3 linked regions of the Rhinolophus ferrumequinum genome follow. The main gene of each other region encodes a partner of the protein of the gene in region 2 in a complex. Links are inferred from orthologs where the notes say so. Each region holds a gene or a part of one and is shown on either strand. Other genes may lie near its edges.

Region 1 (7,438 bases), on a different chromosome or scaffold from region 2:
CTTCAGGGAGAAGCCGGCACTGAACTGCCTGCCTGCACTGTGGTCCTGCCATCTGAGCCAGCCCTTGTAAAGGAGTTCCTGGAAGTGTGTTTCAACGAACAGGACTGAGGCTTTTCCTGTCAAATCGGAGCTGTGCAGCTGTGTCACCATCAGCATCTTCACCAACCAATCAGAGTGGCTCCACTCTGACCAATCAGGACAGTGCTGTTTGGACCAATAAAACTGTGAGGATTTGGACTCCTCATTTACATAACGTCAGAACAATCAGGGACCAGTTGCAGGGACTTGTCTCTATATCTCAGCTCCCCTCTAGCTCGGGGAGCACATTTTCCCTTTCCACTGAAGACTGTTTCCCTAGCTGGAGTTGAAACACCAAAGACATCTTGCCACACCAGAGTGGAGTGGACTGAAGCAGATGGAGTGGACCAGAGCATGGCAGAGCCTACCTGAGTGGACTGGACTGGAGTGTCTTGACTGAGGGCCACCTCTGTGGAACAGAATGTGCTGTTCCAAAGCCATTCTGTATCATAATTGAGCTGTAACACTATTGAGCTGTCGCATACCTGTGCTGTTCTCACAGCTGTGCTGTATCACAATTGAGCTATTTGCACTGAATAGTTTTCCTTCTTCACTATACCCCAAATTGGGGATTCCTGTTGGCATTGAATTGGCATCAATGACCATCAGTTGACACACTCCATTACCTTTGCAGCTTTCAATAAGCTAGTGACTTCCAGGTTTCCATAATAAATAATGTACCCCAAATGGGAACAAGTATAAAGCAAAAAGGAAGGAATAGTAGACAGCATAATGTAGTGTATGAGACAAAGGATTCTTTGAGGGACACCTCTGTACACACAGATCTTTGGTCTTTAGACAGTAAGGTGTCAGCCAACTTCTCTCTCAGCAGGAAATAAACTAGTGATAAAATGTGTACAACTTATTTGTGTGCCCTTGTATTAGGATATTGACTGCTTTGAGGCAGAAACCTTAGCTAGACTCATATTTCACATAACTGATTATTGATCTTATAGCCATGGAACAGGAGACAACTCCCCTCACCCTTTCTTTTCTCCAATTCTGTAAGTCAATTTCTCCACTGGCTTCCGATTTTGCAGCTTTAACACTGGGGTATCTAGGAGTAGTTTTCTACTCAGACAATATGCCTGTAACTCAAAACCAAACATCCTGGTATGCTATTATGGCCAAGGAAGAGTGTCAGATTATTTGCTGGTAAGTTATGTATGGGAATCAGCTGCATTGATGTGACTCATAGAAAGGACATTCAGAGATACAGGCATACCTTGGAGATATTGTGGGTTTGGTTCCACACCACCGCAATAAAGCGGATATTGCAATAAGTGAGTCACACAATTTTTTTGGTTTCCCAGTGCGTATAAAGTTATGGTTACACTATACTGTAGTCTATTAAACATGCAATAACATGTCTAAGAAAATAATGTACATATCTTAATGAAAAATAATGTCCAACTGAGAACTTTGATGGAATTTTGAAGTTTTATCTTTTTGGATGTCAGACTTACTAATTTAATTAAGCAGATATTGTTTAAAGAGGAAAAAAACACAAAAAATAAAGATACTTTATTGCTCAAAAAAGGCTAACCATTATCTAAGTCTTCTGTGAGTTTAATCTTTTTACTGGTCAACAGGCGTGCCTCAATGTTGATGGCTGCTGACTGATATGTGTGGCTGTGGCAATCTCTAAAAAGAAGACAACAATGTGGTGCCCTTTCTACCATATCTGCAGTTACTTCCTCTACCGACGTCTTGAACCCTTAAAAGCCATTCACGAGGGTCGGAATCAACTTCTTCCAAACTCCTGTTAATGTTGATAGTTGACGTCTTCCTGTGAAATCACAAATGTTTTTAATGGCATCTAGCATGGTGAATTCCTTCCAGGTTTTTAATTTACAGATCCATCAGAGGAATCACCATCTATGGCATCAATAGCCTTATGAAACGCAATTCTTAAATAAGACCGTAGCAAATATAATCATAAAGAAAAGTCTGAAATATTACAAGAATTACCAAAATTTGACACAGAGACATGAAGTGAGAAAATGCTGTTGGAAAAATGGCACCGATTGACTTGTTTGGTGCACGGTTGTCACAAACCTTTAATGTACAAAAAGCAGTATCTGTGAAATGCAATAAAGCACAATAAAACAAGGTATGCCTGTACTCAGTGAGGATGTTTTAAACTCTGAAGATGGGAAATTCTATGTCTATAGTAAACTACTTAAAAATGGCATCCTATTTCTCAGAGGCTTATACTCAGGTATAAGATACAAACCTCAGAGTGTAGGCATTTTTCATTTTTACAGTACTAAAGGAAAAACATTGCTCATTTAATGTGGTAGATGCTTTCATATGGATTATTTTACTAAATCCTCACAAAAATCCTGTGAGATAAATGGTATTATACTCATTTTTATAGATAAGGAAACTAAACTTAGAAACCGGCATAGAACTCTATAACTCTTTTCCCACTGTACACACTACTTGAGTACTTACAAATTATGCCTTAATTTATTTATAATTTTTGTTTTGGAAACTGTGTGCCACTGAATTTCTCACTTGCTTAACTTAAGGTTGATCTCTGTACACTAAACAGGAACTGACACATTATCAGATTACTTGATTGATTTGACATTTGTTTTGGCAAAAATGTACAGCAGCTCAAGATTGAAACCCAGGTTTTGCAATATCACTTTTCTTTGTTTCATCCCCCTCCCCAGGTTAATTCACAAAGGCAGCAGTTTCCAAATGCCTTCTTGCAAAGCTATATTTTGAAATAGACAAATATTGATCACTGATGAAGAAACCAGGCGATAAACCTTTGCAAGTCAAAGAAAAGACAAAATAAAAAACAAATTGCAGAAGATGTTTGCAAATACACTGCAACCAATAAAGTTTTTGAGCTCTTCCCCGATGTTCTATCAAGTTTTTACTCAAACAAGTAAACATTTTATTGGGCCAGGCATAGCACCATTGAGATGAATGAGATTCCATTCAACTCCTATTCTCCAGGAGTTGCCATAATGAATGAAGGCAAAAAGGATTTCCCAATACTGTGGTAAATGCTATAGTCAGGGTACAAGTACAATGAGAGGTAAGCAGAGAGAAAAATCTTCCTGGAGGAGGCTGACTTAAGACCACTAGTGAGTGCACACTTGGCCTGGTTCATCGCTGGGCTGTGCGGTGTCTCAGAGATGCCAGGTCCTCCTCCCTGGGCCCTAATGACTTTCTGGACCTATTCCACCAATTATTGTTCCCACCCCTTCTCGGTTCCCTCTGAAGCTTCTCTTCCTTTGCCTGCCCTTTTAAATTGGTGTTTCCTAGGTACAGTTGTAACTCACAGGATTTTATCCAAACCTCTCTCCTGCAGAACATCACTTTTCTTTTCCTACACACACACACACACACACACACACACACACACACAGTGGTACCTCAGTTTTCCAACGCAATCCGTTCCGGAAGACCATTCGAGTTCTGAAACATTTGAAAACCGAGGCGCAGTTTCCCCATAGAAAGTAATGCAAAATGGATTAATCTGTTCCAGACCTTTAAAATCAACACCTAAAACTGTAAATTGAGCATGAATTTTACTATCTAATGATACCACAGATCCATAAAATTTACGGCGTTCGTAAACCAAAATGTTCGTCAATGGAGACGTTCAAAAACCGAGGTGCCACTGGGGTGACAATGATATGCACACATATGTTAAGAGGTGTTATCTATGCTGAAGTATAGTTTGCTATAATCAGAAGTCTCTGGACACTGAAGATAACCAGGTAACCACCTTGAGCACCTCTTGTAATTGCAGAAGTCAAATGTGACTTATATTCATCTTTTGTTATCGTTATGTATTATTACAATTTAGTTTTTTCCCTTTCTTAAAATGTGTATACATTTTTTATTGTACACATATAATCGAAACAAAACGACTTCTCACGAATCCACCATGCACTTTAAAACCGAATCCACCATCCACTTTAAAACCGTAACATTACCGGTACTGTGGGTTCCCTTCCACAGGTATATCGTGAAATTTCCCCATTCCCTTGCTTTTCTTTAGTTTTACAACGGCCTTGTTGCTCCACTTGGCAAGAGGGAGGTAAATGGAGGCAGCCAGGCCGCCGCTCACGCGCTGGTGCCCACAAAAATAACAACGCCCTCCTCGCCACCACGGCCACCAGCCAGGACAGCAAAACCATCAAGACGGCAGCGGCCCCGCCCCCCTGATCTGCCGGCGGCCCTGGGGGGCGGGGCGGGAGGCTGCTCAGGCGCGTGGGCGGGCGGCGCGGGCCGGTGACGTCATCCGGCAGCGCGGGCCCGGTGCACGTGACTGCGGCGCGGAGGAGAAGGTGGTGGCGGTGGGAGTGTGGGGATTCCCGGCAGCATGAGTTGTTGCGGGCTCTTGCGAAGGGCTGTGGCATCGCGTTCCTGCAGCGCTCTGGTGGCCTCTGCCGTGAGCCCGCGCCGGCTGAGCACCAGTCGGACGAGCCGAGCTTTCGCCAAGGAGCTCTTCCTGGGCAAAATCGAGAAGGTAACGCCAAGTCTGGGCCCACTCGGGCTCTCTGCCGCCTGCTTTTTGCCCCGATCAGGAAACACTGGGATCAAGCTTTTCCCGTGTCCGCACACCTGAGGGGCAAGGCGTGCTAACACTCCAGGTTCCTGAGTCCCATTAGATCATGTGCATTTTTCCAGGGAAAGGGAAGAGTCTTTCCAGGGCGGGGGGCCCCGAGAACTCATGGTTTTGACAAGTGTTCCATTTTGTTCTTGTCCAGTCAGTTTGGGAAACACTAGGCCAGGCGATGCAACCCTCAACTCAGCGGTCTGGCCCCCGAATGTGTGGGGCTTCCTCTCTGAATCCTAAACACAGCTCGGACCGTGCCACTCTGTCAGCTTCCAGCAGACCCGAGGCGTCCACAGCTGAGTCCGAGCACCTCACTCTGCCATTCAGGTTCCTCTGCAGTCTGGCTCCAAGGTGCCCTCACCCCATCCCTTCCACGGTGGCACCACCCAGTAGTAACCCAGATCTTACGCAATAGTAATAACAGCTTGGTTATTAAGCATTCAACGTCCTCTTATAGTAGGAAGACTTGGATTTGACCTCGGTTCTGTGACTGAGCCTCAGTTCTTTTAGCCTTAGAAAAGGAGCTAGTGATGTATTCTGTCTCACAGATGTGTTGTAAAGCCCCAGTGAAATATATAGGGTGTGGAAATGCTTTTTAGCCTGTAAGGTACTGTGCAGATGCAGAAGTCAGCAGAATAGGTAGTAAATGCTGGCTTCAACACTTACTAGTGTATGTGCCTAGTACTTACCCCCTCCTAAAGGTGCTTTGTAAACCAAAGGAAAAAACTTGCATAAAGTGCTTTGAGCTTGGCTGAAATGTTGGCTGATAGTATATCATTTAAGGACTTATTCCCTGGTTTTCCTTTGGAACATTCCTCTAAGGTTGCCAAGCATTACAGATGCAGAAGCAGAGACTCAGACTAACAGTGGTTTGCTCTGGTAGGAAGTATACAAACTCTGTCTTTAAGGTTTAGGAAACCATTTTCCCCCAGCCTGAGGCTGTGGTGCTCTGTCCTGGGATCTCATGCCCGCCTCAGCACAGTGAAGAAAGAAGACAAGTCATTCATGCTTCTCTTTTTCCAAACTTTTGGCACTCCCTCCCCCATTGTCACTCTGAGCTGTCAGCTTTGCTTCCTATTTCACTGAGAAAATACATGCAGTCAGATGACAACATCCACCATAACACTTAGCCGCTCCTTCCTATGCTCTGTGCCGTGTGGGCTGCATTCTCTTATTGTAGATGAACTGTCTACTTAAAGAAAAGGCCAAGCGCGTCACTGTACCTCATGTCTTCTCACCTACTCAGGGCTTTGACCCAGTAATTCTGTCCTTTCTCATCTACATCATCAGTTGTTCCTTCTCTGCTGCATCTTGAACTCACACCATTCAGGCTTTTGTCCTGAACAATCCACTTATGCTCATGAAAGTCAGTAGTGACCTTTGTGTCATCACATGTAGAGATCTGTTCTCTGTCCTCATCTTACTTGACCCATCATTGGCGTCTAACACAGTTTATCACTCTGGCTTCTAAGAAACTATTCTCTCCTAGTTTTTCCATCTGCTTTACTGGCTGATCCTTTTAACTTTTTCACTTTTTCTTTCTTGGCTCCTTGACCTCTAAACATTGGCCAACATTTTCAACTAGCCCAGTTGGAGCTGGAGTTTTTTAGGGCTCAGTCTGTAGACTTCTACAACCCCACATTGGATGATCTAATTTAGTATTGTGGCTTTAAATACCATCAATATGCGGATGTCTCAAATTTATTTCTCCAGCTCAGATTTCTCCCCTGAACTCCAGACTCTTTTTATATCTACCTTTCTAACAAAAGCTTCACTTAGGTGTGAATAAGCATTTCAAATTTAGCATATCCAAAACTGAGTTCCTGGTCTCCCTACCCAACCCCATTCCTTCTACCAGCCTTCTTAATCATAAATGGTTAATTTACTGTTCAACTTGTTCAGGCCAAATACCTGGAGTTACTTTTGATACCTCTTAGTCTCATAATCCACAGCTAATCTGACAGCACGTCTTGTTTTCTCTGCCTTACATTTAGAATCAGATTCTTATATTTAGAATCTGACTGCTTTTAAGCACCTGCACCACTATTGCCCTGGTTTAGGTCAGCATCATCTCTCACAGCATTATTGGGGTTTGAGCAGGAACGTGGCATCTGAGATGCCTAGAATTTCAGAACAGAAAGAGACCTTCAAGATCATCTAGACCAGTAGTTGTCAAACTGCCTTCAGGTGGACCCTCGTTATTCATGGGAGTGTCCCTGGGGCTACTGCTGGGACCAGTGGGAAGCCGAGTAGGAGACATTTGGGTGATCTTTCTCCCCCTCTGCAGTCTCAACCAGAGCAGCTTGACTTTTATTTGTTCTACGTATTTGGTGTCTGCACTAGATTTAACTAAAAAATATGTTTTACTACTTTAAAAAATTTGGAAGCGCAGATGGGAATTAAACCCAGCACCCATGAGGCACCCCGTTTAGTTTATGAACACTGATAGAAGAGATTTGTTCTTCCATGCATGGAGATCTCGCTCCCTGCAGCAGTTAGCCTTTGGTTGTGCTTGAGGGCCATCTAGTTCCCAGGCTGTTCTCTTTTCTTTTCTGGAGTGCTCACTGGTACCAGGATAATCTTATAATCGTCCTCTAACATAGCTCATTGCACAAGGCCTGAGTGAACCCATGGGCTTGTGAAAGCCAGAGCAGTGGGTTGAGCATCTGTATTTCAGCTAAGGAGCTGGCTGTGTTCTGAGAGGCTTCAGAGTGATTAGTCTTAGCATATTTTCCTCCTAGACAGTCTAGGACAGGGTCAGAAATGGCATGG
Region 2 (7,268 bases):
ACAACAACATCAAAATTATAACTAAATTACAGAACAATCATCATTGGGAATCACCTGCAATCTAGCTGAACTAAAGCCCTACAACTAAGTACATACAGAAGAAGCCACTTCGAGACTGGTAGGAGGGGCAGAGGCTTGGAACGAGCTGGTCCCACACCCACGTGTGACCATTAAAAATCAGGAGGTATATCTTAACTGCAGAGGTTGGAGGTCCCCCCCCCTCCACAGAAGCGAGGGGTACCAGCTCCATACCAGGCTCCCAACCGAGGGTCTAGTGCTAGGGAGAGAAGTTCCCATTACTTCTGGTTGTGAGAACCAGTGGAGATTGTGGCTGAATGAGATGGAGGGCAACTAGTCTCACAGGCACTCCTCTTAAAGGGCCCGCACATGGACTTACTCGCTGACGGACTCACTTGCCTTGAGGCCATTGCTAGGGCAGCAGCTCAATAGGCAGCAGGGGCATACAAGGAAGAATGGAGTTTTCTGGCTTCAGAGCAAGGTCTGGAGGGACAGCTCTCTCCTGGACGGAGGAGCTAGCAGAAGGCATTGTCGCTTTGTTGAGCCCTCCCCTCTATGGGTATGCAAAGGCAGGCAGCCACCATATCTGAGTCTCCATCACCTGGCTAACACTATTCATCTGCCCTGCCATCATGATTCCCTGAGACCCCACCAAACCCAACTTTTGGGCAAAACCAAGCCACTTCCAGTGGCTTTCCGTACAATTGTCCTGTCTTGGCATGCTGCATGCTTTCCTAAAATCTCTCAAAGATTCACAAAACCCAAACAAGCAGTATATGGCTTTGGCATGTCCTATACCTCTAGCCGATCAGCCCTAAGCCCAGCACTAGCAACAGCTGGCCTTGGTTTGCAGCTTGGCCTCTCAAGGCACCTCCAAGCCCAGTGCAGGCAGCAACCATCTGTGGCTGCTGTGACTGAAATTGGTCTGCAGCAGGTCCCCTTCCAGGAGACCATGGGGCTGGCACAACTGGTATCCAGCTTAGGACCGAGCCAGAGCACCACCTCACCACCTCCAAGGATGACACACCCAAGGTACCAGAGTCCTGGTAAAGTGAATCCTGCTCCATAAAGTCAGCCCCTGTACCAAAGCTCCTCCACTGTAGACATGGCCACTCCTCACAACCAATCAGCCTGAGGGTCAATCGCTCCTAATGATGTGAAAACAGCAACCAAGGCTCAGCTCCAATAGGAGAGCACATACAACCCATACAAGGAAGACACCTGGAGCACCTGGCTCTGGTGACCAGGGAGACGGCGCCATTGGGAACCACAGGAAACCTCCTACATAAGGCCACTCTACTAGGACTGGGAGGCATAGAAGCCCTACCTAATACATAGAAACAAACACAGGGAGGCAGCCAAAATGGAGAAACAAAGAAACATGTCCAAATAAAAGAAGAGACAAAAGCTCCAGAAAAAGACCTAAACAAAAGGGAGACATGCAATCTACCAGATACAGAGTTCAAAACACTGATGATAAGGATGCTCAGTGACACAGGAAACATAAAAATGGAGATAGAAAACATAAAAACCAGTCAGAATAAAGAATACAATAACTGAAATGAAGACTACATTAGAGGGAATCAACAGTAGATAAGATAAAGCAGAGGATTAAATCAATGACTTAGAAAGTAAGTTGGCAAAATACACCCAAACAGAACAGGAAAAAAAAAGAGGAGAGTTTAAGGGGCCTCTGGGAGAACATCAAGCATACCAATATTCACATCATAGGGGTACAAGAAGGAGAAGAGAGAGATCAAGGGATTGAGAACCTATTTAAAGAAATAATGATGGAAAACTTCTCTAACCTTGTGAAGGAAATAGACATACAAGCCCTGGAAACACAGCAAGTCCCACACAATACGAACCAAAAGAGGCCCACACCAAGACACATTTAATTAGAATGACAAAGGTTAAAGACAAAAAAAAAATCTTAAAAGCAGCAAGAGAAAAGTAATTAGTTATCCATAGGGGAGCTCCCATATGACTATCAGCTGATTTTTCAACAGAAACTTTGCAGGCCAGAAAAGACTGGCACAAAACATTCCAAGTGATGAAAAGCAAGGACCTACAAACAAGATTACTCAGCAGAGCTCTCATTTAGAATGGAAGGACAAAGAGCTTAGTTTCCCAGACAACAAAAAGCGAAAACATTTCATTACCACCAAAGCAGAATTATAAGAAATGTTAAAGGTGTTTCTTTAAAAAGAAAAGATAAAAAAATGTGAATAAAATGGCAATAATTACATACCTATCAATAATTGCTTTAAATGTAATTGGATTAAATGCTCCTATCAACAGGTGAGGTGGCTGAACGGATAAGTAAACAAGACCCTTACATATACTGCCTACAAGAGACTCACTTCATATTGAAAGACACACAGACTGAAAGGGATGGGAAAAAGTATTTCATGAAAATGGAAATGAAAATCAAAAAAAAAAAAAGAAAAATCTGGGGTAGCAATACTTATACTGAATAAAATAGACTTTAAAACAAAGGCTATAACAAGAGACAAAGAAGGATCCAGTAATCCCACTTCTGGGTATTTATCTGAAGAAACCCAAACGCTGCTTCGAGGTAATGTGTGCATCCCTGTTCATTGCAGCATTGTTTACAATGGCCAAGATGTGGAGGCAGCCTCGGTGTTCATAGATGGAATAATGGATAAAGAATAGGTGGTACATTTATACAAAGAATATTGCTCGGCCATGGAAGGGAATGGGTTCTCACTATCTGTGGTGTCATGGATGAACCTGTGCACTGTGCTGAGTGGAGTATGTCAGACAGAGAAAAACGCATGCCATGTGATTTTGCTTATATGTGGACTCTAAAGAACAAAATAAACAAACAAATCGGAAACAAACTCATAGATATAGAGAACATTTTGATGGTTGCCAGATGGGAGGGGGTTTGAGGGTGGATGAAAAAGGGGAAGGGATTAAGAAGTACAAATTGGTTGTTACACAGTAGTCATGGGCATGTAACATATAGCATAAGGAATATAGTCAATAATATTGTAATAACTATATCTGGTGTAAGACGGCTACTAGATTAATCGAGGTGATAGATTGGAGGGGATTTGGGGGAAGGGTGAAAAGGGTGAAGGGACTAAGAAGTACAAATTGGTAGTTACAAAATAGTCATGTGGATGTAAAGTAAAACATAGGGAATATAGTCAATACTATGATAATTACTATGTATAGCGCCAGGTGGGAGCTCGACTAGTCAGGGGGATCACTTCTTAAATAGAAATGTCTAACTACTATGCTGTACAGCCAAAATTAATATAATGTCGACTGTACAGCATGTCAACTATAATTGAAAATTTTAAAAAGGGGTAAAAAAGGTGAGGAGGAATAAGAGGTTCAGATTTCCAGGTATAAAACAAACAGGCCATGGGGATGTAATGTACAGCATGGGGAATATACAGTAGTCAATAATACTGTGATAGCGGTGGTACAGTGTCACAGCATTCTGGACCTATGGTGATCACTTCGTTAGGTATATAAATGTTGAATAACTGGTGTACATCTGAAACTAATATTGTATGTTAGCTATATTTTAATAAAAATCTTTTTAAAAATGTAAATGATAATAGTGATGATGATGACCATGGAATGATCAAGATGAAAATAATAACAGCTAATGTTTACTGGGCACTTATGCAGTGCCAGGCACTATTCTAAGTACTTTACATACTCAAACCTATTAAGTAAATACTGTTATTACCCATTTTACTACTAAACTCCAAGCGAACAGAGATCATTAATTTTTTTCTTACCCCTGCATTCCCTGGAGCACCATAGGCAGTTAATACGTAAACATTTGGTAAATAAAATAAAATTTAGTATTGCTAAATTTTCAGCCGAAAGGAACAAGATGGACTTCAGTGCCATAGTGGATATCAGAGGGTTCGTGATTTCACTTCCTCCGGGATTTGCCAACGGCGAGGTCCCTGGGAGGGGCAATATAAGCCAGTGGTTTAAACGTCCTAAGCGGGCCCTGCTGCACCAAACCCATGATGTGGGCTACCAGGTTCCAGAAAACAAACAACGGAGATTTGACCAGAGGAATCCCTTCCGGCGCGCGTCCCAGCGTCTAGGAAGTTGAAGCCCGGTTGCCAAGGCGATCTCAACCTGGGATCAGCCTCCCAGTCACGGCGAATCCACTTTGGGCAAGCCGTGTCCGCGCCCTACGCTCTAGCCTCCGGAGGAGGAGACGCCGGAAGTCTCCACTGCTCTTCCGGGGCGGGCCCGCCCGCGGCCTTTTCCCGCCCACTCCCCACTTCCAGCAGGGATCTTCGCGCGTGCTGTGGTCTGTACGGCTCTCGCTGACGGGTTAGATTTCCCTGGGAGGAAGAGTCTGGGGATCTCCTACGCTCAGCAAGTTTGTTCAAGCGTTCCGGGTGGCTGCGTTTGCGTGAGAGTGTGCTGCTGCCAGGGAAGGCCCTCAAGGGTCGCCTCGGGGACGTTCGCGCCGCCACCGGGTGTGGCGCACCCTCCCTCGGCGGTGTGGTCGGTGCCTAGGCGGCCGCGGTGGGCTCCGCGCCTTGGGATTCTACTAGATGCTTTTACAACCCGGAGTTCTGAGGTTGTGTGTAGCTAACCTTGGCTTGTCCTGCAGTCCCTGCTAAGCGGTCCCAAGAGCACATTTGTGAAGCCGTTCTTCTGGGGGTCCTCTAGAAGAGGTGGAATTGGGCACTTTGTTGTTTGTCCTGTTACGTCACTCGGAGAACGACGCTGCCCAGATGATTGTAGAAGTTTCTGGTGCAGTGGTCATAATAATTTTGTCCAGAGCACACTTGAGCTCCTTATAGGGATGACTGTAGAAGTGATTTTCAGCGGCGCAGACGGTACCTGTGTGTGAGCGCGCGCGCCTTGTTATTTTAAAAATTTAAACATTTTAAAAATCTAAGAAGGTTCTTAAATTTTGATTCTTGCTACGCCTTATATCTTCTGCTAACTCTTACCCATTCTCACCTGAGCTGTATTGCTCTACTTCAAGGTATTCTATTGGTCTACTTCACCTTCAGATAGAAGTAGTAACTCTACTTAAACTTTTTTAAAAAAAATTAAAGGTTATGGGGGTGACAATTATTAGTAGTTACATAGATATCAGGTGTACAATTCTGTAACACATTATTTGTATCTCACATTGTGTGTTCACTGCCCAGAGTCAGTTCTCTTTCCATCACCATACATTAGACCCCTTTACATTCTTCTGGAGCCCTGCTGCCCGCTTACCCCTTACCCCCTGGTAACCCCAAAACTATTGTCTATGTCTATGAATTTTTGTTGTTTCAGTTGTCTGTCTTGTTCTTTTCTTGTTTTCGATTTATATACGACATACCAGTGAAATCATGTGGTTCTCTACTATTTCTGTCTGACTTATTTCACTTAGCATTATAATATCAAGATCCATCCATGTTGTCCCAAATGGTCCTATTTCATCTTTTCTTACCACCGAATAGTATTCCATTGTGTATATATACCACAACTTCTTTATCCATTCACCTATCGAAGGATATTTTGGTTGTTTCCATGTCTTGGCCACCTTACGTAAAGCTGCAATGAACATTGGAGCACACGTGTCTTTATGGATAAATGTTTTCAGATTTTTTGGGTAGATACCCAGGAGAGGGATTGCTGGGTCATATGGTAATTCTATTCTTAACTTTTTGAGGAACCTCCACACTGCCTTCCATAGCTGCTGCACCAGTCTGCATTCCCACCAACAGTGTATGAGGGTTCCTTTTTCTCCACAGCCTCTCCAACACTTTTTACTATTTGTCTTGTTAATGATAGCTATTTTGACTGGGGTGAGGTGATATCTCATTGTGGTTTTTATTTGCATTTCTCTGATGATTAGTGATGTTGAGCATTTTTTGATATGTCTATTTGCCATTTGTATGTCCTCTTTGGAGAAATGTCTCTTCAGGTCCTCTGCCCATTTTTCAATTGGGATGTTTGTTTTTTTGTTGTTGAGTTTCATGAGTTCCTTTTATAATTTTGCACATTTGCCCCTTATCGGAGGCACTGTTTGCAAAAACTTCTCCCATTCAGTTTGTTGCCTCTTTATTTTCTCAATGGTTTCTTTTGCTGTGCAGAAACTTTTAAGTTTGATATACACGTTCATTTATTTTAGTTTTTACTTCCTTTGCCTTTGGAGTCAAATTCATAAAATGCTCTTTGAACCCAAGGTCCATAAGTTTAGTACCTATGTTTTCTTCTATGCAGTTTGTTGTATCAGTTCTTATGCTTAAGTCTTTGATCCATTTTGAATTAATTTTGGTACATGGTGACAGATAGTAGTCCAGTCTCATTCTTTTGCACGTGGCTATCCAATTCTGCCAGCAGCATTTATTGAACAGGCTGTCTTTTCTCCATTGTATGTTTTTTGCTGCTTTGTCAAAAATTATCTGTCAGTATTTGTGGGGGTTTATTTCTGGGTTCTCAGTTCTATTCCATTGGTCTATGTGTCTGTTCTTCTGCCAATATCATGCTGTTTTGATTATTGTTGCCCTGTAGTACAAGCAAAAGTCAGGGAGTATGATACCTCCAGCATTGTTTTTTTTTTCTCTTAGGATTGCTTTAGCTATTTGGGGTCTTTTGTGGTTCCAAACAAATCTGATGATTTTTTGTTCTATTTCTTAAAAAATGCGATTGGGATTTTGACCGGGATTGCATTAAATCTGTATATTGCTTTGGGTAATATGGCCATTTTAACTATGTTGATTCTTCCAATTCATGAGCGCGGATGTTTTTCCATTTCTTTGTGTCTTCTTCAATTTCTTTTAAATATGTCTTATAGTGTTCAATATATAGATCTTTCACATCCTTGGTTAAGTTTATTCCTAGGTATTTTATTCTTTTTGCTGCAATTGCAAAAGGAATTGCTTTTTTTTTATTTCTTTTTTTGAGATTTTATTGTTAGTATATAGAAATGCAATGGACTTTTGTACGTTGATTTTGTAGCCAGCAACTTTACTGTATTCATTTGTTTCTAATAGTTTTTTGGTGGAGTCTTTAGGGTTTTTATATATATAGCATCATGTCATCTGCAAAGAGTGACAGTTTAACTTCTTTCTTCCCAATTCGGATGCCTTTTATTTCTTTCTCTTGCCTGATTGCTCTGGCGAGGACTTCCCACACTATGTTGAAAAGCAGAGGTGATAGGGGACAGCCCGATCGTGTTCCTGAACATAAAGTAATGGCTTCAGATTTTCACTGTTAATTATATTAGCTGAGGG
Region 3 (7,707 bases), on a different chromosome or scaffold from region 2:
CAGTCGGGAACAAATCAAGTTACTACTGTAGAAAAGAGAATCCTGAATGAAAAGCAACTCTTGGGGAAAAAAATCTCTAACAGAGAAATAAAGAGTCTTCTGTTGATAAAACTGAGATCTGTTAAAATGTGAAGAGTGGGGTTGAGGAGGTAGGAAGTTGTGTCATAAAGCAAAAGAGCAGTGAGTACAGGGGTTTGAGGTACAGCAGTTTTAGCTTATCTAAGAGCAGTCAACAATAGTGCCTAAAAAAATGGACTTAATGAGATGTCAGACCCATTCGCACTTCCCATCATGGTTGTATGTTACCAACCAGAGAACCTCCTCTGTACTTTTATAATAACATACAAAATAAACACCAAATGAAATCTGTCCTATGAAAATTTATTTAAACACGAACATATTCAACAATGATTAAACATGTGGCTCAATAAAGATATTTATTGTTAAAATTACATTAATCTAGCTCTTCCATCATATCTACCAGATGTCACAATGAAGAAAGAAAAAAGATTCAAGATGACAGAGGATAGTACTCTCTGCAGAATAAATCTAGGTTAGATTTTACTTATATTTTAGAAATAGTACAAAAGTAAGCTTAGTCAATTAAAAATATAATGCACATGTCACAATTTATTTGGCTAGTTGTGTAAAGATTCAAAAATATATCTTAATACTTCTGGTTTTAAGAGATTAAAAACAAGATAAATTGTTTTTCTAAATAGATTTAAAGAGATCAGTTCATAAAGTAAATTACATATGCATATACTTTAGTATAACCCAAATATATACTTGTTTTGCTAATTAGAACTTGTTGGTTCCTTAAAAATTTGATCCATTACAAGCAATTCATTGTTAAAGAAGGAAGAGAGAAAAGGAGGGATGGAGGGATGAAGGGGGGAAGAGGGAGGAAGGGACGCAGGGAGGAAAGAAAGAGGGGAAGAGGGAGGAAGGAAGAAAGAGGGAAAAGGGAAATAAAAATTAAATTACTTCTCATAAAGTATAAGTTTCAATAATGTATCAGCAATTTTTGTAACTTCCTTTAAAGGTAGGAACTCTTAAGAGACTCAGTCTATTGGGTTTAAAAACCTTAAGATCACTGGCTTAGTTAAGTTACACCTAAAATATCAATTGCACTTCCTCCTCCTCCTTCCTAGATTCCCTTTTATCCCTTTATATCTCTCTCCCTCTCCCTGGCCCCATCTGTCTCTCTCTCTCTCTCTCTCTCTCTCTCTCTCTCTCTCTCTCTCTCTCTCTCTCTCTCTCTCTCTCTTTCACACACACACACACACACACACACACACACACACTCACGCAATGTGTTTAATTCAATTATAAGTCTAAAATAAAGTAGTCCAATAGGGACAATGTCTTGAGAACAATAAATGGTAGAAAGAATTAAAATACACTGTAAGTTAAATAAATCAAAGAGCCATATCATTTATTGGCTACATTACCAAAACCACTCTTGTTCCAGACAAGCCACTATTGTCAGGTCTAGACAGGTGTGGCTCCAAAATCTCATAGAGAGTTTACAAGTGCTTCTCTCGGTGACAATGAGCGAGACTGGGAATGAGAGAAGGAAATAATCCCAGCCTTAAATCCCAGTGTACAAAAGGACATTGCTAGGTGTTTCAAAAATTTTAAATATCATTTTCTATCTCTACAGATGACAACAGTTGGATAAAGCATCTCACTGATCATAAGTTTTCTCAATGCACCTTCCAAATCCACAGGTAGACGGATTCAACATCATGCAGAGCCAGGCTACACTTTAACCATCACCCTGAACTTTAGTTTCAGGTTGTAGCAACTCATATAACTGGGCAATATTTGGATCTATGCTAGCTCAGTATAGTAGAGTTCAGTGGTGTTCATATAAATTTTGGTTCAAAACTCTCGAGAAAACTATAGTTGATCTGATCTTCTGTACATGGCCAAAAAAAAAAAAAAAGGCTGGTTTCCCTTGTTTCACTAGGATCCTTAGGAACCAAGTTAACCTGGGATAGATCCAGGCTAAAGTAAATCCCAAGATCTGAACTATAATAAACTATATGTCAGGAACCCATTGGCTCTTGATCAATTTCAGGAATGGATACGTGGTAGGAGTCAGGTGTTTGCCTCACTTGAAGAACTTGCCAATCATGCTATTGGATATTGCATACATCTGAAAAAGCACACAGTTACCCAAATTGTCCTTTATCACAAAAGTGAAGATTTACACTAGAGTAAACCCAAATATGAAATCTATTTTCAACCAAAAGATAAATAATAAATCTATAATTTTTTTCAGTGCAGTTCTGCTATCTTTTACAACCATGTAATTCACTTGATAATACTAAAACCATGCCGAAGAACACTGTACAAGTTTCGTTCTTAAAGATTTTTAAAAGTGACCTTTAACAAGCTAAGAAAACAAGCTGAAGAAAATCCCAAATCTATGGTACCAAATCTATCCTCATTATAAATGGTGATTTAGACAACCTGATTTATGAAGTCATCAATGTCTATAATTAAATACTATAGTCCTACTTCATTTCACGTTAGCAAAATTATATTACTAAACGATGTGCCACAGAAAAGACATTATTATAATAAATATTTCCCCAAGCTCAAGCAAAATTTTACTCTCAAATGGAATGCAATGTAAATTGCAAATACCAGAACCAAGAAAAGGGAGAAACATATATTATATAAAAGCCTCATAGCCCACCTTTCTTCTTGACTGGCATTCTTGGTCCTTCTACTGTCACAGGATGCAGGATCTCTTTTCAGGTCTCAACTCGATCCAACTGGATTGAAGCCAAGAGCCAGGTAACTGTTGCAAACCACTTCACCTGTTTAGTTTTGAAATCCAGGCTGTCTTCTTTCAGGTAAAGAAAAAATAGCGTATCTTTTCCACAATTAAACTTTTGACATTGCCCACAGAGTTTAGTGAAAAATAACTTTTGAGTTTTTCAAGTTTTTCAATTTTTATAAAATATTCTGTTTTTTAAAAAGCTAATAAAATTATTGTAAGCATAGAAAATATTATTAAAACTCCTCTTCAGGCAGCAACATTTTTGAAGATCAATGAATAACTCAATTAAGGCACAAACCAAATTTACAAAGCTGTTTCATTACTCAATACATGATCTAATTCAAAAATGAACTGGTTGATGAGAAAGATCCTCAATTCTTTAGAGAAAAATTTAAACACCCCTCCAAAAAATAAAAATACTTTTAAAAACCTCTTTGACTGGTCTCTAAAAAGGTGGGTGAGTTTGAAGAGTTTCCTGGGGCAGAACACAGACTGAAAGGCCCCTTTCTATTTACTGGACCAGAAGTTCCAGATCTCGCCCCCTCAGTAAGACAGGATCCAGCTTGCTGTCACTTTCATTTTTTTTCTTCTGTGTTGTCCAAGCCCCTCAGGCTTGATCCTTAATGCCCCTCTGATTCTGATCCTCCCGTGTATTAACCGAGAGGACTGAAAAGAAGGAAAGCAATCCCTTGGCATGGAGACATTAAAGTGACAGTGCTACTCAATGGGCACTTGATGCAGGATGAGTTGGCGAAGCAAATTTCTTCACACTGGAGTCATTCACATCATGCCATCTCTTCGCATCCAAGCAGCTGCCTATCCAGCGAGGAAAAACACTGAGACTGCTCCAGAGAAGTCAAACCTTCCCGCAAAGGTGTTTTCTGAGACGCTGTAGTAATATTAGGCATGTGAGCACAAGCTGTGCAGAGAGAGTTCGCGATTTCCTAAATGAGAGTGTTCGGCTGCTTGGCTTCCACATCCACCCTTTCTCTCAATCTCTCTCCAAACTACCCACCTTCCTTGTGCAGAAAAGACAAGAAATCTGTGCTACCGCTGGCCACCCCTACCCACACCCCATTCTTATATAGAAGAGCACAGAAATGTCCTGCACCCTCCAAGCGATGAAGTGTTTCCTCAGGCAGGAGAAACAGCAGCACTAGAAATTATATAACTCTCGGATTTGGCTTCTCTAAGACATGGAGGCTGGAGGGTCGGGGGTTGCTGGTCTGGGAGATACTGCTGGGCACTGAGCGTGCACAGAAAGGCGCCAGGCCTCGTTGCTGCGCCCCCCACCCCGAGACACTGGCTGGCACGGGGGTCTTCTCGGGAATTAGGGGGCAAATTTCCCTCTGGTCCCTTTCCAAGCGGAGTGAAAGGATGGAAGATGAGGGCACTAAAGATTAGGAAGAGGAGTCAGTCGGCTGCGAGGGGAGGAGGCCAGTCGGGGCTGCCCTGGCGGCCGGGTGGGCTCAGGGGAGGAGGTGCCTGAGAAGCCAGAGCCTTAACACTTGGGCCAAGCCAAAGGCTGAGCTCCCTCAAGGAGTGAGAGGGGCGGGCAGCTCGGCCCCAGCTAACAGAGGTGCCCAGAAGAGAGGAAAGCGCGCAGTAACATCCCTGCGCTCGGACCGCCCCTTGTCTCCCTCGGGATGGGAGAAGAGGGAGCTAGGTTAACAAATAGCAAAAGAAGGGAATGCAGGGCTGGCGGGGGGGCGGGCCTACGGGAGTCTGGACCTCCTCGAAGCCAATGAGAGGCCGTAATTTCAGGAAGCCGCACCCAATCACAGCCAGGATGGAGGGCGCGGCTTTTGACTAAGTCGGGGCGGGCCGGGCGGGCCGGGACTGCGGGAGAGAGGCGTGACCACTTCCCTCCCGGCGTTCTCGGTCCCCGCCCACTCGCTAGTCACGTGAGCCCTCAAGATGGCGGCGCTCGGGCGTGAGGCTGGGGCTGACCTGAGGGATGGAAGTGTGGTGCCGGTGGGAGCTGGGGAAGTGCGCAAGGTAGGCGGAAACCCAGGTGGTATGGGCCCTGATTTCTGTAGCCTCAAGTGTTGGAGGACTCTTCTGGAATGATGTATAAGGGGCTTGAATACCTAAAGAGAACAGCTCCCAGGTCCATGCAGGGCTCAATCAAGTCTCCAGTTGCAATGGAAAGAGGCGGAAAGAATGTAGGAGACCTAAAGTCCAGTCTTGATTGCTTGATTTTTCTTGCCTCCTGGCCTTTGCACTGGCCTTTCCTTCAACTTGAAAGGCATCCCTGCATCTCTCCCTCCCCACACAGCGCGCGCCAAATTCTCCTCTTTCGGATATTCGCGTAAATGTCACTTCCTCTGGGAAGCCTTCCCACATTTACCCTGGATAGGTTAAGTTTGGCTTTTGCTTTTATGGCATACTCACTCTGCGTTTAAATTCCCTGCCTTTTTGTCCAGACCTCCGTCTGGGTTGTGTGTCCCTGAGGATGACTACATCTTGATTATCCCAAGGGTTGTCAAATGATGGAAGATTGTTGAATAAAATTCTGAAAGTCAGGTGAAATAGTACACATAAAAGCACTACAAAACCATAAAATACTTTGTAAACTATAAATCTACATAAATACACTCTTTCTGGTATGATCATGGAGACCAGTTGAGTGGCCTTGGACTATTTAGATAAAATGTTGGTTATAGCAAAAATCTTTGTTTCAATACTTGTCAAAAATCTATCAAAAAGCTATCCATATATTTTTGTTTTAATAACAGTACCTTCCAAAGACTAGGCACTCAATAAATATTTGCTGTCCTGTTTTAGTATTTTAGGCTCATAATCCTGTGTCCTCCTAGACAAGGTAGGGGGTTGATACAAGTCATAGCCTGAAAGTTTTCTTTGTGAGGAGTAAGGGACTTCAATGAATTGAATGACAGCAAAACAAAAAATTTATTCAAGGTTTCTGGTTAATTATGTTACTGACTTCTGTCTTCATAGAACATTAGATATAGAACCTCCCCCCAGATGTTACTATCTCTTCTCTTCCATTTTCCATTTAGATGTCCGAGGCAAAAGATTAAATCTAGTCCCTGAGAAACTGTAACTTGTAAAAAAAAATAAAATTTTCCCTGTCCTCCCCAGATATTTTAAAGAAAAAGATAGAACTACCATGTTTCCCCGAAAATAAGACCTAGCTGGACAAACAGCTCTAATGCGTCTTTTGGAACAAAAAATAAGACCTGGTCTTATTTTACTATAAGACCGGGTATAATGATATAATACAACATAATATAATTAATATAATACCGGGTCTTATTAATTTTTGCTCCAAAAGACACATTAGAGCTGATTGTCTGGCTAGGTCTTATTTTTGGGGAAACATAGTAGCTTGAGTACAGTCTAAAATGATGCAAGGAAAGAAACTAAGTCATTATTAATTAGTCACTGTGTAATACCATACAAATGTCCAAAGGAGCCCATATCTTCAGGATATTTATACCATGGATGAATTGGCCTTTCATTAGTTAGGGTTAGGATTGGTACATAAGAGGTCGGACAATTAAGTTCAAGAACTCATCCTAGAAAAAGTGCTACATACCTCATTGCTGAATATCACTATGGTCACCTTCGAAGTACGCCCCTTGGGAAGCTATGCACTGATGCCAGTGCTTAGTCCACCCTTCAAAGCAATTTTGTAACTCTTTATCTGCAATGGCCATCAGAGCTGTCATCGTATTACCCTTGATGTCCTGAATGTCATCAAAATGTCTTCCTTTCAATATTTTCTTTATCTTTGGGTAAAGAAAGAAATCATTGGGGGCCAGATCGGGTGAGTAGGGAGGGTGCTCCAATAGTTATATGTTTACTGACTAAAAACTCCCTCACAGACAGTGCAGTGTGAGCTGGTGCATTGTCGTGATGCAAGAGCCAGGAATTGTTGGTGAAAAGTTCAGGTCATCTAACTTTTTCACGAAGCCTTTTCAGCACTTCCAAACAGTAAAATTGGTTAACTGATTGCCCATTTGATACAAATTCCTAATAAATAATCCCTCTGATAATCAAAAAAGGTTAGCAACATCTTTGCAACAGGTTCACAAACTTAATTGTCTGACCTCAGCTTATTCAGCAAATGAGTATTACAGTGATGTTCAACATGTGTCCATTGACTGCCAGCAACAGAATCACTTGGTGCTATTAAAATGCAGATTTCTAAGTTTCACCCTACTCCTGTTGAATCCACATATCTCAGGTGGGAGCTCAAGAGACTGCATTTCAAATAAACTCCCCACATGATTCTTGTGCACAGGAGAGGTTGAAAATCACTGATTTATTAAGTAACTTCTGTGTTCATTGCACTTAATCCACTCTAATTTTCTTGCCTGGGACTCCGGAAATTTGAGATTTAGTCTATGCCATTAACTAAATTTGATGTAAAAATGGAGATTGGTATAAATTGTGACGGGCCATACACTTTTCTTTGAATGAACTTTCTATTCATTGGCTAACCTGGAATCCCATAATTCTAGTGTGGCAAAAAATTTAATGTTATTAAGACTTTTCACAGAGATCTAAGAGTCTTACCCAGAGCAAAACATTCAGAAAGGATCCTTTCTGAGGATCCAGGGTGTTGTGTTTTTTTTTACCACTGGTTTCTGTGAAAATGGTACTGGCCAAATCCTCATGGTCCCTTGACATTGACAACCACCTATTCATATATCACATTTGGGACACAGGAACCTCCAACCCTGGTGTCCAGTGCCATGAGACCCTACTCACCGGTATACCACACAGCAATTTCCAGGAAAGGCCCTGCTTTCACCCCAGGTACTACTAGGGAGCTGGATATGTAACTCATGTAATGCAAGGTAGCCATGATCCACTGCCTCTTCCTAGCCTGGAACAGTGTCCCTCTTTGTGATTTTTTTTCTCTCACTGTTCTGCAAGGC

The links. The genes of interacting proteins can lie anywhere in the genome.
Region 1: cytochrome c oxidase assembly factor 1 homolog (region 2) and ACAD9 share a complex: the UniProt entries of both Homo sapiens proteins name them as parts of the mitochondrial complex. The link is inferred for Rhinolophus ferrumequinum from reciprocal best matches to the Homo sapiens genes COA1 and ACAD9.
Region 3: cytochrome c oxidase assembly factor 1 homolog (region 2) and TMEM126B share a complex: the UniProt entries of both Homo sapiens proteins name them as parts of the mitochondrial complex. The link is inferred for Rhinolophus ferrumequinum from reciprocal best matches to the Homo sapiens genes COA1 and TMEM126B.

What each region holds. Positions count from the first base shown.
Region 1 is NC_046285.1:217,021-224,458, reverse strand, and holds the start of ACAD9 (complex I assembly factor ACAD9, mitochondrial), read left to right. Parts: upstream 1-4,429; coding exon 4,430-4,576; intron 4,577-7,438. UniProt on the Homo sapiens protein: As part of the MCIA complex, primarily participates in the assembly of the mitochondrial complex I and therefore plays a role in oxidative phosphorylation.
Region 2 is NC_046303.1:57,539,965-57,547,232, reverse strand, and holds the start of cytochrome c oxidase assembly factor 1 homolog, read left to right. Parts: upstream 1-4,254; 5' UTR 4,255-4,333; exon of another isoform or gene 4,334-4,356; intron 4,357-4,437; exon of another isoform or gene 4,438-4,612; intron 4,613-7,268. UniProt on the Homo sapiens protein: Component of the MITRAC (mitochondrial translation regulation assembly intermediate of cytochrome c oxidase complex) complex, that regulates cytochrome c oxidase assembly.
Region 3 is NC_046294.1:58,590,424-58,598,130, forward strand, and holds the start of TMEM126B (complex I assembly factor TMEM126B, mitochondrial), read left to right. Parts: upstream 1-4,698; 5' UTR 4,699-4,714; coding exon 4,715-4,795; intron 4,796-7,707. Other genes in the region: DLG2 (disks large homolog 2), read right to left, coding at 2,711-2,729. UniProt on the Homo sapiens protein: As part of the MCIA complex, involved in the assembly of the mitochondrial complex I. Participates in constructing the membrane arm of complex I.